Macaca mulatta: one gene and its partner. Each later gene encodes a partner of the first gene's protein in a complex. Links are inferred from orthologs where the notes say so. Each region holds a gene or a part of one and is shown on either strand. Other genes may lie near its edges.

Evidence for each region.
Region 2: the proteins of TSEN34 (region 1) and TSEN15 are in contact, whole or in part, in a crystal structure (PDB 6Z9U), measured with the Homo sapiens proteins. The link is inferred for Macaca mulatta from reciprocal best matches to the Homo sapiens genes TSEN34 and TSEN15. Residues at the interface, in NP_001070914.1 of Homo sapiens: Pro251, Leu252, Arg253, Phe254, His255, Ala256, His257, Tyr258, Pro265, Glu266, Asp267, Thr268, Ile269, Pro270, Leu271, Gln272, Leu274, Ser283, Val284, Arg285, Lys286, Thr287, Leu289, Leu290, Cys291, Ser292, Gln294, Val300, Tyr301, Thr302; in NP_443197.1 of Homo sapiens: Leu70, Lys74, Trp76, Thr108, Pro109, Ile110, Thr111, Ala112, Ser113, Leu114, Ser115, His116, Asn117, Ile119, Arg120, Leu123, Leu141, Ile143, Val151, Tyr152, Tyr153, Lys154, Leu155, Thr156, Asp157, Gly158, Phe159, Met160, Leu161, Pro162.

What each region holds. Positions count from the first base shown.
Region 1 is NC_133424.1:66,426,332-66,433,969, reverse strand, and holds TSEN34 (tRNA-splicing endonuclease subunit Sen34), read right to left. Parts: upstream 5,880-7,638; 5' UTR 5,879-5,879; coding exon of another isoform or gene 5,874-5,878; 5' UTR 5,795-5,873; intron 4,952-5,794; exon of another isoform or gene 4,899-4,951; coding exon of another isoform or gene 4,895-4,898; coding exon 4,652-4,894; exon of another isoform or gene 4,345-4,651; coding exon 4,101-4,344; exon of another isoform or gene 3,950-4,100; coding exon 3,692-3,949; exon of another isoform or gene 3,533-3,691; intron 3,299-3,532; exon of another isoform or gene 2,881-3,298; coding exon 2,693-2,880; 3' UTR 2,601-2,692; downstream 1-2,600. UniProt on the Homo sapiens protein: Constitutes one of the two catalytic subunit of the tRNA-splicing endonuclease complex, a complex responsible for identification and cleavage of the splice sites in pre-tRNA. It cleaves pre-tRNA at the 5'- and 3'-splice sites to release the intron.
Region 2 is NC_133406.1:41,545,079-41,551,599, reverse strand, and holds the end of TSEN15 (tRNA-splicing endonuclease subunit Sen15), read right to left. Parts: intron 4,081-6,521; coding exon 3,927-4,080; intron 3,411-3,926; coding exon 3,390-3,410; coding exon of another isoform or gene 3,374-3,389; 3' UTR 2,032-3,373; downstream 1-2,031. UniProt on the Homo sapiens protein: Non-catalytic subunit of the tRNA-splicing endonuclease complex, a complex responsible for identification and cleavage of the splice sites in pre-tRNA. It cleaves pre-tRNA at the 5' and 3' splice sites to release the intron.

The DNA of each region.
Region 1 (7,638 bases):
TTGGGTTTCACTCTGAGATGGAAAACTCCAGGCGAGTTTTAGACAGAGCTATGACATGGTCTGACTTAACTTTTAATATGATGATTCTGGCTGCTCTGTTGAAAACAGACAATAGAGGGGCAAGAATAGCAGGCAGGGCATGAGTTAGGAAGCTATCAAGATCAAATGAGCCATGGTTCGGTTTTTCTAAGATGCTGGTAGTGAAGGTGGAGGGTGGGGCCAAACTGTGGATCCACAGTGCTTTGAACATGGCACCTATAGAATTTGTTGACTGACAACATGTGGGGACACCAGTCACAAAAGTTTTTTTGTTTTTAAATAGAGACGAGACGAGGTCTCACTATGTTCAGCCCAGGCTGGTCTCAAACTCCTGAGCTCAACTGATCTTCCCACCTTGGCCTCCCAAACTGCTAGGATTACAGGTCTGAGCCACCACACCCAGCCACAAGGGTTTTAAATGAGGAACATTTCAGAGCGGAGACTCCTGACAGAGGTAATGAGACTTCTAAGTACTTTGTTGTAGACAGGAGAAAGGGTGGAGAATAGACATACAAAGCCACTTATGAAGCAGGCACAAAGAGAGTATTGGCCAGGCAGGGGTCTTTTTTCTTTTTGAGATGGAGTCTTGTCTTTTTTTTTTTTTTGAGATGCAGTTTAGCTCTTGTTGCCCAGGCTGGAGTACAGTGGCACGATCTTGGCTCACTGCAACCTCTGCCTCCTGGGTTCAGGTGATTCTCCTGCCTTAGGCTCCTGAGTAGCTAGGAGTACAGGTGTGCACCACCACGCCCAGCTAATTTTTTTTTGTATTTTTAGTAGAGATGGGATTTTACCATGTTGGCCAGGCTGGTCTCAAATTCCTGACCTCAGGTGATCTGCCTACCACAGCCTCCCAAAGTGCTGGGATTACAGGCGTGAGCCACCACGCCTGGCCCAGTATCATATTTTAAATTAATCTAAACTTAAAGGAAATTGAGATTCTATGAGTCTGTTTACTGGGAATGGCAAGAAAGAGGGAAGATGGGAGTCTCTCTAAACCTATTCTGGTTCTAGAGGCTGCTCAATTCACACAAAAAAGAGAAAGAATGAAACATGGGGGGAAGAAATTGAAGAACTAGCGGTGGAGACTTTCAGCCCCAGAACTTTACCATGTGAATGTCTTTTTTGTTTGTTTTTGTTTTATTGAGACAGAGTCTAGCTCTGTCGCCCAGACTGGAGTGCAGTGGCACGATCTCGGCTCACTGCAACCTCTGCCTCCCGAGTTCAAGCAATTCTCCTGCCTCAGCCTCCCAAGTAGCTAGGATTACAGGCACCCGCCACCAGCCTGGCTCAATTTTTGCATTTTTAGTAGAGGCAGGGTTTCAGCATGTTGGCCAGGATGGTGTCGAACTCCTGACCTCGTGATCTGCCCGCCTCAGCCTCCCAAAGTGCTGGGATTGTAAGCCCCTGCGCCCGGCCTCACCATGTGAATGTATTACACTGACAAAATAAACGTGACAAAATAAAACTGCATATTGATAAGATAAAGGTGAAATTATTGGAATAGTGGTAGTGTTCTAGTACTTTCTTAAGCAAAAACATGGATAAATGATTTCGTAAGTGCATATTTTATACATATACATGTGTTTTAGCTTTTATAAAAATTGCAGAATATAACAAATCCAAAAAAAGAGTCTAAAATATAAATGTATAGTATCAAAAAAATTCTCAACCACTACCCAGGCCATGAAAAAGCAGAATGCCTTCCAGAGTCATTCCTGACACTCTCCCCATGCTCTGAACTCCTAAAATTACAATACTCATTTCCTTTCACGATATATATACACACACATATATACACACACGTACGTGTGTGTATATTTACATATATACACACACATATATATACATATAGATTTTCAAGACAGGATCTTGCTCTGTCTCCCAGGCTGGAGTGCAGTGGTGCAATCACAGCTCACAGCAGCCTCAACTTCCCTAATTAGGGCTCAAGGGATCCCTAATTTTTTTAAAATTATTTTTTGTAGAGATGGGTATTACAGTGTTGCCAGAGCTGGTCTCAAACTCCTAGACTCAAGCGATCCTCCTGCCTTGGCCTCCAAAAGTTCTGTGGGATTACAGGTGTGGGCCATCATGCCCAGCCTATATTTTTATTTATAACCTTTGTATGCATCTGGGAAATTTTGTAGAAATCTTTTCAAAAGGAAGTTTAGTGCGGTAGAAAGAGTGCAGATTTAGGAGTGAGGAAAACCAATTTTGAAAGGCCAGGCCTGCTATTTACTAACTGTGTGACTTTGGGCAAGTCATTCCCCCTCCTCCAGGCCTTTTTCTCATCTGTATATGCAGATGAGACTATCCACCGGTTCCAGGTTTATCATAAACATTCAAATCATGAACATTTATATAACAAGTTTATTGAGATCTCCTGAGACTTAAACCCTGTAGAAAACAGATGAATCAAACCCAGGCCCCATTCTCAGGAAGCTCACAGTGTGAAAACAGGTAACTACAAAAACACAGCCAATAAGTGCTTTCAAACAAGGAAGAACATAAAAAGGATGTAGTGTTCGAAAACCTGGAATCAAAAACTAACCGCAGAGAAAGGTAGGAGGATGTTCTAGACTCCCAGAGAAGAGCTGGGGAACATCTAGAAAGGCTCTTGCTGCAGACACAGCCATGTCCCCCTAGGTCTTGGAGTTCACTGCAGGCTGGCCCATTGCAGGGAGGTGTAGACCACCTTACCATCAGGCTGCGGAGAACAGAGGAGCAGGGTCTTTCTGACGCTGGTTCCAAGGCGCCCAGCAGCAACCAGGTCCTGGAGTGGGATGGGGTCCTCCGGGGCCCAGCACTGAGCGATGTAGTGGGCATGGAAGCGGAGGGGGTCACCTAGGGGAGGGAGAGAAGCGCTGAAGCAGTGACCAATGGCAGAGGGCTGGATGCCACAGGAATGACCACTGGGAGGAGATTTGAGATCATTTCAGCAATCACTATGGATACTCTAAAACAGATGCTCTTGGACCCAACTATTCCGCTCTAGACTTTTTTTTTTTTTTTTTTGAGACGAAGTCTCGCTCTTGTTCCCCAGGCTGGAGTGCAATGGCACCATCTCAGCTCACTGCAACCTCTGCCCCCTGGGTTCAAGTGATTCTCCTGCCTCAGCCTCCTGAGTAGCTGGAAATACAGGCGCCTACCCACCACACCCAGCTAGTTTTAGTATTTTTAGTAGAGACGGGGTTTCACCATGTTGGCCAGGCTGGTCTCAAACTCCTGACCTCAGGTGATCCACCTGTCTCAGCCTCCCAAAGTGCTGGGATTACAGGCGTGAGCCATGGCGCCCAGCCTGATGTCTAACTACTTCTAAGCGAATCTTCTGGATCATAGTAAACATTTAATAAAAGTTGCTAAACTGCTTTCCCAATGAGTTCAGGAGCTCCAAAATGTTTCCTGTCCATCTATGAATTTCAGAGGCTAAGAGAAAGTGAGACAAAAAAAAAAAATGCAGCTGGGCCTGTAATCCCAGCACTTTGGGAGGCCGAAGTGGGAGGACTGCTTGAGCCCAGGAAACGGGACCAGCCTGAGCAACAATAGAGACCCCATCTCTATTAAGACAAAAAAAAAAAGAAAGAAAAAAAAAACGCAGAATACATTGGGATCGTATGGAAAGGCACAGCAACCAGAGGCCCCAACCCAAACTCACCAGGATAGACCAGGAAGTCACCTCCGAACTTGCCAGCCGCACTGAGGAAGAACCCTCTCTCCCACAGGTCTCTGTAAATGCTGTAGCGCAGCTCATGGGCAGGGCGGCCGGCGTGGGGCCAGTCTTTAGACTGGACACGCCAGTCCAGGGGCCTGGCCTTGACAGGTCGAGGCCTGGCAGTGGCCAGCTGGACAAGGAGAGCAGATCTGGGCAAGGGGGCTACCCCATTTGAGGGCTCTGCTTGGGAAGAGGAGGGACCTGGTGGGGAGTACAGAGAAGAGTTTGGTAAATCCAAGGGGCAAAGTCTTCTCACCCTCAGGGAGACCCAGGCACTGGATTCCCAGCTAAAATTTCCAAAAGATCTCTCCTCCCCTTCCCGTGGTTCGTGGACTCCACCTCCCATACTCACCGGCTTCCTCCTGCTCTCCCGAAGCCTGGCCATCACTGGTCTCGTTCTCTTTGGCAGCCTGGCTCGAGCCAGCCTCATGGCTCGAGCTGGCCCCTGAAGCCTGTTCTAGTTTCTGCTTCTTGGCAGCCTGGCCCTCCGTAATCTTCTCCAGGAGCTCCTGACGACGGGTCTCCCGAGCCTCAGCTGCCAAGGCGCTCTGCTCCTGGAAGCTCTCCTCTTGCTGGCGCTTGAAGGCTGTCAGGGCCTGAGAAGCACACGTCGCTGGAACCTCCAAGCTTACGGTCCCTTCGGAAGCCAGGAATCCTGACTCCCAGGCCCGGCTCCCACCGAACCCAGGGGTCCCGGCCCCGCCCCCTTATGATCCCACCAGGGATCCCGCCAAGGCGCTCTGCTCCTGGAAGCTCTCCTCTTGCTGGCGCTTGAAGGCTGTCAGGGCCTGAGAAGCACACTTCGCTGGAACCTCCAAGCTTACGGTCCCTTCGGAAACCAGGAATCCTGACTCCCAAGTCCCGCTCCCACCGAACCCAGACGTTCGAGCCCCGCCCCCTTACCAGGCTGTGGTGCTGAGGGTCTGGGCGCGGGGCGCTAACCAGAGTCACGGCGCCGATCTCGGCCAAGAGCCGCGCCTCTTCGGGCATCAGCAGCAGCGGGAGGCCCAGGCGCGAGTTCTGGCGGGGCCCGCGGGGCAGGGCGCCTACCGTGCGGCCCCCCACACCCAGGCGCTCCCGGAGGGCCTGCACCGCCTCGGCTCCCCACACCAGGGAGCGACCGTTCGCCACCTCCACCACTAGCATCCTCCTGCGGGAGCCGGGAAGCAAAGCAGTTACCGAAACGGCTGCGCGCCGCGGGCCACCGGAGCACAACCAAAGCCTCCGGGGTCTTGGCGAAGACCCGCCCCTAGTCCTCAGGGGGCGGGGCCTCGCTCAGCCGCCGTTCACCACCTGCTGGGCCGGAGCGCCAGGCCCCACCCCAGGGCGATCCCGCCAGGCCCCGCGGCCGCCGGAGACCGACCGGCAGCCCTCGCCCCTCGCCGCGTCCCCGGGGCCCTGCTCTACCCTTGTGACCCTGCAGTCGGCACCCGCTTTGTGCCCACACTGCCGTACCTACCATTGTGCCTTGGAGTCTCAAAAACAAACCTCCCCAAGCGCGGCGACACGCCCCCTTACAAAGGTCCATTTTGGCACCACCCTCTTGCAAAGTGGGCGTCCCCCTTCGGGTGCCCCCCTCAGGGGTCAGAAGCTCTCGAGGCTAAGGCACTGCCAAGGCCACACCCACTTCGGGACGCTCCGGCCTTGGCTCCTCCTCTTTCCGAACCACTGTGATTCGGCTTTCGGGTCTACAAGCGCTCAGACTCCAACAGTACAAAACCCTGCCCCCTTCAGAGCACAAGAATTGCGGCGGTCGGGCGTCCTTGGCTTCACCGAATCCGCAGCCCCGCCCCCTTCTCGAACGCGAGCAATTTGGCGTTCGGGTGTTCTCGGCTCGGCCGAATCCGTAGCCCCGCCTCCTGCCGGACGCCTGAGGTTCGGCATTCGGGCGTCATCGGCTCCCGGCAGTCCCGCAGGCTGTGGCCCCGCCCCCTCCGAGCGCCAGCGCACCCCCGATGGGGAGTTCCCGCCCGACGACCGAACCCCATAGCCGAAAGCCCCGCCCCCTGGGCACCCGCCGTCCGCTCTCCGCTCGGGCGGGCTCACCCCACTTGGGAGCGCTCAGTCCGCCTCCTTGCTTCCCTTCAGAATGTCCCACGGTCCACGGACAGAACCAGCGAGTCACCTCATAAACACTAACTCGCAGTCGAGGCGGAGCCACCCACTACGCACCGCGCCACGCGCTCCTTCCTCCACCCGCTCTTGCCGACCCTCTCGTCAACTTCGTCATCCCGCCCCGTCAGCGCCGGGGGGAGTCAGGACCCGCCCCTCGCAGGCTCGAAGCCCCGCCCTCTTCCCGCGGTGACCACTTTGGCCCCGCCCCACCGAGCGCACCTCCCTCTGCCGCTTCCTCTCCTCAGCTTGGGAACTTGAGGCTCGTCACCCTGGCCCCGTGCCCTAGGCGCACGCCGGCCCTCGGGGTTCCGCCCCTTTGAGGGCAAGCCGCTTTCGCCCCGCCCCCCTGTAAATCCTTATCAGCATCTCGCGAACCTGTTGACTCCGCCTATCATCCTAGCGTCCCTTGTACCCAACTATCTACGAAGTAAACCGAAGCATATGGCCCCACCCACATCCGGCCGAGTCTGTGGTCCCGCCCACATCGGAACAGTGACACTAAGGAATCGACTATCTCCGAAGAAAGCCGAAACATGTGGCCCCGCCCACAGTAGCCCCAGCGCTCCGTTCTCGACTATCTCCGAAGTGAGCCGAAGTTTGTGGCCCCGCCTCCCGTGAACTCAAGCTCCCGATTGTGCCCGAAGGAACCCGAACGGAGACCGCGCCTCATCCCTCACGCCGAGCTCCAGACCCCGCCTCCTTTCCGGATCCCGTCTGTCTCCCTTCGGGTCCAAAGCTTTTGGCTCCTCCTTGTTCCGAGCCCGAAGCCCTGCCCCTTCACGTTCTCGGGGCTCGGAGCCCGGTGTGGACCTGGACTCGAGTCCCGTTGTCGACTCGCGCTCCAGTCGCCTGCTCTGGGGCTCCTTCCCTGCCCGCCCGGGACCCTGACCGTGGCCTCATCCCCGCCCCGATCCGCGCGGCCCAGCGGGCGCCCAGAAGGAGCAGGCGGCGCGGGGGCGCGCTGCGCGGGGGAGGCGTGGCCGGAGCCGCAGCGGCCCGCGGGCTGGGACTGCTCGGCCGCCTCCTGCCCGGCGAGCAGCTCAGGTGGGCCGGGGTGGCGGCGCCCAGTGGCAAGGCGAGGTTACACGGCTGCAGGGTCTCTGCAGGCTGGTGGGTGCGGGGCGGCCCCGGAGGCGCGTTAGAGCTCGGGGCTGGCGCAACCGCCTGTGGATCTGCCGGGGATTGGATCCGACCCACGCTGGGGTGCGCGGGACGGGTTGGGGCTGGGCCTGGGCCTGGGGAGGGAAGGCTGTCCGATCCCCGGGTTCTCCGTAGGAGAGGGGTCTGGAGCTCCGAAGGAGGTGAGGCTGGAGGCCCGGGCTCCTCTGAGTGCTCGCGAAGGACAAGGGCTGGGGGGTCCGGATATCTGGTTTCACAAGGGCTGGGGGATGGGGGATCCAAAGAGGGGGTCTGGGTTCCTGGATCCTCGCTGGAAGAGGGGTCTCGGAGGTCTAGATTCCTGGGCTGTCGAAGAGGAAGGGTCTGGGAGGGGTGCTGTTTCTGGGTTTTAAAAAGGGACGTCTTCAAATCTGGGTCCCTAGTATGGGTGCAGGGAGTAACTTTGATTTCTGCCTTCGCAAAGGAGGCGCCTGGGTGCTGGGAGATCCCCACGCTTTCCTGGGTTCTCAAAGGAGAGGAGAGCTGGAGGCCTGTGCGCTCATAGGAGAGGGGCTGGGGGTGGATTCCTGTCTCCAAGGAGGAAGGGGCTGGAGTCCGGGTTCCTAGGTTCTCAAAGGAGAGGAGCTGAGTCTCGGACTCCATCATCCTCAAAAACT
Region 2 (6,521 bases), on another chromosome or scaffold:
GTCAGAACACACATAACATTTATCAACTAAGTTTGCTGTCTTATATGGGCACAATTTGTGGCACACCAAAACAATTACAATAGTAACATCAAATATCCCTGATAAAAAGATTACCATATCAGATATAATAATCATAAAAAAGTTTAAAATATTGCAAGAATTACCAAAATATGACAGAGAGATACAAAATGATCACATGTTGGAAAAATGGCATCGACAATCTTGCTTGAGGCAGGGTTGCCACAAACCTTCAATTTGTAAAAAACACATTATCTCCAAAACAGAATAAAGAGAATTGTAATATAACAAGGCATACCTGCTTGTATTAAAGCAGCAATACATATCTTTCACCATCAGCACTTAGCCAGTATATCCCACCCCATCTACTCCTACCCCAAACAGCCTTTTATTTCTAAATATAGATCTACATTTCAAGCAAAGCATGAATCAAGTCACGTATTTAATGTCAGTATAATTTTAGAGGCATGCCAGAAAGAAAAAGGGGATGTGAGTATGTAAAATTTACTTATATTTTTATTTATGCTATTTCCCACAGATTGAAAATAAATGTTCAAGAGCATCACTTCTCCAGCCAATCTACTCTTAGTAGAGTCTGAAAATGCTGTGGTTATCTAGCAGTGCCCTCTGGTGTTCAAATGAATTGTTTTATTTGCCTTGAGGGAAGAAATAAGCCATTATATAATCAGACATGTCTATAATCAGCATTCATTCATTTGCCAAGTATTTACTGTGGGTTTACTATATGTGAGTTACTGTGCAAAGAGGCAGGATACAGAGATATATTAAAAAATACATGATTTCTTGTTATGTTCTTAAGGAGTCCAGTCTAACAAGGAGACAAATGTAAACTCAATTACAAAATTACTTAAATCACTTTATCTAGTTTTTCATTAAAATGAGACACACACAGCTGGGTGGCCTCCCTTTCCAAACAGTTCTGGGCCATTATTCATGTTAGGATGTATCTGGCTGGCTTTGGACAGAACAACTTTGGTCAAGTACACAGGGAACATTCTGAAATAGAGTAAACATAGCAAGACATACAGCAGGATTGAATCCTAGTTTTAAAGAGTTGAGAAAGCACCTTTCACAGCCAATCCCAAATGACACTTTCGGTTTTGTAGTTATATAGGAGCCCACTGGTCAACAGATCTGACACACAAATCTGACATTCATTATCCTTACACTTCTTTCAGAAAATGCTATTTTCTGGAATTATAATGAAAGACCTCAAAATTAATCAAATGAGAGACTTAACAAATCAAGAGACCCTAAGAATTTATCATAAACTGTTTTAGGATTCTTAGGCCTGCAAATTTTCCACTAGAGTCACCAAAACACATATCATTCCGAATAGGTGCATCTTCATGTCTTCTGGGGAAGCAGAGGGAGCCTGAAGGAGTTATGGAGACCTCCCACCAAGAATAAAAGTGAAATTCAAATACCATCCAAGGAAGGAGTCACGAATGACTACAGATGAAGAATGATGCTTTATACTATTTTGTGATGGTCCTAATTTTCATCATTTTTTCCATTCTTGTTATTATTGTTTCCTAATCAGCCATGAAACCCTAGTGTGTAGGCAGGACCTATGACCTGCTTCCAACCAACAGAATATGGCAAAGGTGATGGGATGTATGTGATTACATTATATAAGATTATACAGTCCATCTTGCTGAGACTCTCCTTTGCGGGCTTTGAGAAAGCAACCAGTTATATTGAGAAGGCCCATGTGACAAAGAGTTGAGGGTGGCCTCCTGCCAATGGCACATAAGCATTGAGCACTCTCAAGGAACTGAAGGCTACTAATAACCATGTGGGTGAAAAAGCTGACCCCTCCCCGGTCAAGTCTCAGATGAGACTGGAGCCTCACAGAGGACCCAACTAATCTGTGCCCAGGTCCCTTACCCACAAAAACTATAAGATAATAAATGTGTGCTGTTTTAAGTTGCTACATTTGTGGTAATATTATTTTGCAATGATAGATAACTAATACAGATTTCAAGACACTTTTTAATTTTAAAACATTTTTATTATAAAAGAAATACAAATAAAAACATTAAGAAAAGACAAAGTCATCCATTTTCTGCCTCCCATCCCACTATAACCGGTTAGTAATTTGATTTACTTTGTTATCTTTTTATAGAATGCTTGGTCTGTTATTTCAGCCATGATTACATCCACTCATACACTTTTCCATCTTGCAATTTTTACTTAATGTAACATTTTCATGCTTTTAATAATATTCATTACTAATTTTTAGTAAGTACATTATGTACCATTTGTATATATCTGTTTATTGACTATTCCTTAGATGCAGGGATGCAAACTATGGCGCCACATTTGTAAATAAAGTTTTACTGGAACAAAGCCACGCCCATATTGTTTATGTATTGTCTGTGGCTGCTTTTGTGCTTCATACAGCAGTGTTGACAAGTTATGACAGAGACAGTAGGTTAAAAACCTAAAATAGTTACTTTCTGGCCCTTTATAGAAAAAGTTTGCCAATCTTTACCCCAAACTTTAAAGTGGTTTATAATTTGGGCTACTAAAAGTAATGTCACTTGGAATATCTTTGTGCATATAATTTTTCATACTTTGTACAATTTGAGAGACATTAACAAAAGTGGAATAACTGGGTCTAATTAATGAAGACATTTTTAAGGTTCATACTCTCCCACACTCTTGTAACATTCAAGCTATGATATGTGATAAGAATGAAAAGGATAGCCCAGAACTCTTGTAGGTAACATGTCTCTGGTTCCTGTTACTCAAGACACTTAAGTTTACACTCTGGATGAACATATTTTGAGTTTTGATTTAAAGTTAACCAAAAAAGAGAAATAACAGTAATTGCAACAGGAAGACCAATTGAAAGAAATCTTTTACTTTCTACTGGAGAGGAAAAAGCAGGCAGAAGTAGGTGACAAGGTATATATAAAATGCCATTCTAACATAGCTGCAGTGGCCAAAACGCACTGGGGAGAGTTGAGTGAGAAAAAGAGATAGCAGTCTCAACAATGAGCTGGCAGTGGCAGCAAGAAACCAAGAGGCAACTATGAGTGTGGGATGACAAAAGCAGCAGACAGGTCCCACCCATTTGAACACATCCTAGGCATAAACCTGTATACAACTGTAATTAAACTGTCTCTAGATAAGAAAGTTTTAAAGAAATCACTCTATATTTTTTAAGAAGGAGAAAGTCTTCTATCTAGGGAAGTTTTATTCTTCAGAATGAAAACCTTATGGAATGGGGAAGTCAACCCTCACTATTTAAGTCAACCCTGACTATCTCTGAGATAAAAGCAGTCTGATGGTTCTCAAATCCAATCTTGTATGAATAAAACAAGCATCAGGAAACACAGATGTCATCTTCTAAGAGAAATATTCTGGAAAAAAAAAAAAAGATCAGAATGGACTTTTCTCCAATAAACAATGTAATCCAAAAGCAAAATTAGAAAGCTATTTAATGTAATTATCCAAATTATGCCAACAAAGTATGTAAAGAAATCACATATAGCCCATTTATCTTATTAAAATGTTCCTGTCAAAATGTCAACCAATTTAACATTTCTTAAAGAAGCGTTTTTTTAGTTACAACTATTGTTAGCCTTTACATTCCACCTCAGTTACTCACTAAATAATTAAATGCATGATGACTTCATAAAATACTTTGGAAAACCATGAAATTCTCCATAGAGTAAGGAAATCAATTTTTTTGCAACAATAACTAGGAATACACTACTTTGAACAAAATATAGCCAATTTTCTGAGGTATGAAAATCAATACTTTTTTTCTTGAATTTTCCCTATGGCAAAGGAAGTGGCAGTTCTGTGAATGACTTGAGTCACACTTAAAATCATGTCATAATTTTCCTCTTTTTGTACTTGTTGCTGTCAGTTACCTCAAAACTGACCTGAGGGTCTGGCAGCATAAATCCATCAGTAAGTTTATAATAGACTATTGTAGAATCAGACTCCACTATGGCCAAAGTAAAAGACATCGGCAAATCTGGATCACCTTGCAATTTTCGAGATGCCTTCAAGATCTCCCTTATCCTGAAAATAAAGTCACAATATACTTAGGAGTTGCGGTCACTCAATTAGACTAGATGTGACACAGAAGAAAGCACTAGAAAACTTGAAAACAGGTCACAAGAAACCAAACTGAAGTACAAAGAGAAAAAATAATTTAAAAAAATAACATCAGAAGCTTCTGGTATAGTATCAAATAAGTTTAACATACACATCATTGGAATCACAGAAGGAAAGGAAAGAGAATGGTATAGAAATAGTTGACAGTTTTCCAAAATTGATGTCTCTGAATCTGAAGTATATCTTTTATAGACAGCATATAGTTGGATCTTGTTTTTAGCTCCAATCTGACAATCTCTGCCCTTTTGAGTGTTTATTCACATTTAAAATTAACATTGGTATGGTTGGATTCATGCCTGCCATTTAGCTATTTGTTTTCTATATATCACATGTCTTTTTTCTTCCTCTCACCCTCCTTTATCACCTTGTTTTTCTATTAAATAGGTATTTTCTAGTACGCCATTTTAATTAATAATTTTTTTTTTTACTATAGTTTCTTGAGTTTCTTAGTGGTGACTCTAGAGATTACTATTGTGTCTTAGTTTATCACAATTTCTCTCAGCTTAACACTAACTTGATTCTAAAAAATATAAACTGCTCCAATAGAGCTTTATTCCTTTCCTCCTCCTTTATGCTATTATTGTCATATACATTTATATATTTAAACCCAGTAATATAGTGTTATAATTATTACTTTATATAATTTTCTTTTTATAAAGTTAAGAGGAGAAAGGAAAATATATTAGGGTCTTTTTACATTCACATATTTAATATTTCAGGTATTCTTCATTTCTTCATGTAACTATCTGGTGTCACTGTTTACTCCAATATAGCTTCATTCCTTCCCCCATCCTTTGTGTTAATACTGTCATATAAGTTACTTCTTAACCTGCTATAAGCCTGGTCAGTTGATTTTTGACAAAGGTACAAAGGCAATTCAACGGAGAAAGTCTTTTCAAGGATACTTGAAATGAAGATAGTAGTACACCCTTATGTCTACACATAAGATTATTATATGAATCAATTAAATGGCATATATGAAAAGACTTCGTAAACTGTCAAGTGGTCATATTATGTAGTACATATACCAGCTTTGCTACCTTGCAAATTGGGATATAATATTTATAGATAACCCTGCCTCCATGATTATTGCTAAAACTGAATACTAACCCAAACATACTAAGTTACACTGTGCCATTAGTGGAATTATAGAAAATGGTTATTTTCTGAAACAGTCTGAATCCCAGAAATTGACTTAGTCCTTAAAAAATTATTTCCACCTATGCTGAACTATATTACAATTAGCTAGATTCTTATTCATAAGAATGATTTACTTTAGAGAAAGATATTCTGATAAAGCAACTATAGATATTAATCAGAAACTTCATTACTCAGCACTGATGGGAAATCACACTGTGATAAAAGGCAGCATATCACAATTGATTCTTCAACGCAAATCTTTTAGTAGCTAAGTATTTTCCTTCTTCAAAAGTGGCACACCAATATCTAAATTAATAATAATAGAAAAAGATCAATTTTTATAGGCTGTCCATCTTGAATTAATTTTTTTCTACAAAGATGGAAAAGAAGAAACAGACAATGGATCAACTAAAATTTTAACTTATCTACATCTTTTGTTGTCAGCATGTATCATGATTACTTCACAGTATGCAACATACATAAAACCCAGTGTATAATGCACATAAAGCCACTTCAATGCCACAAGATATATTTCTCTAAACATCCCCAACTGGTAGACTGTGATGAGAATGGGACACAGACAAGAAGGAAGCCTGTTAACACAACTTTTACACATTTTCCATTTCTGAAGATATAATGTTATTTAAATCAGAAAGTGTGTTTGTATGTGTGTGTGTGGGGGTGGGGGGTGTTCCCTAAGGAAAACTTTATGGGAATTCTAGCCCATATACTGAAATTTAGAATAGAAATTTCCATCTTATTCACTACTCTTTTTCCATTCTCAATTTATATTTGTTTCCGGAGTTCTTTGATTTAAGCGGCAAAACATTTTCATACTTACCCCAAATACCCACGCAGGAAACCCTAACATTTGAAAACTAACTCAGAGTTGTAAAAGGGGTTTTGTTTTCAGAGTTGAGAGAAATCACTGTCAAAAATGAAATGGAAGTTCCCATTTCTGAGGCCTTGTTTATGGTACTTGGTTGGCGGGGGGCAGGGATTGTGAATTACTAGTGAATCTTCTCGGTAGTAACAGAAAAAAATAGTTTATCTGCCTCTGTTACTCAAAGTACACTCCAGAAGTCTCACACAGTTTCTTGTTCAGGATCTCTTCTAGTCGATTTTTCAAGTATGTTTAAAGCAAAGCCATCATCTTTTCCTCAACAAACAAGAACAAGACCTTTCTTGTTTGCTTCCATTATAGG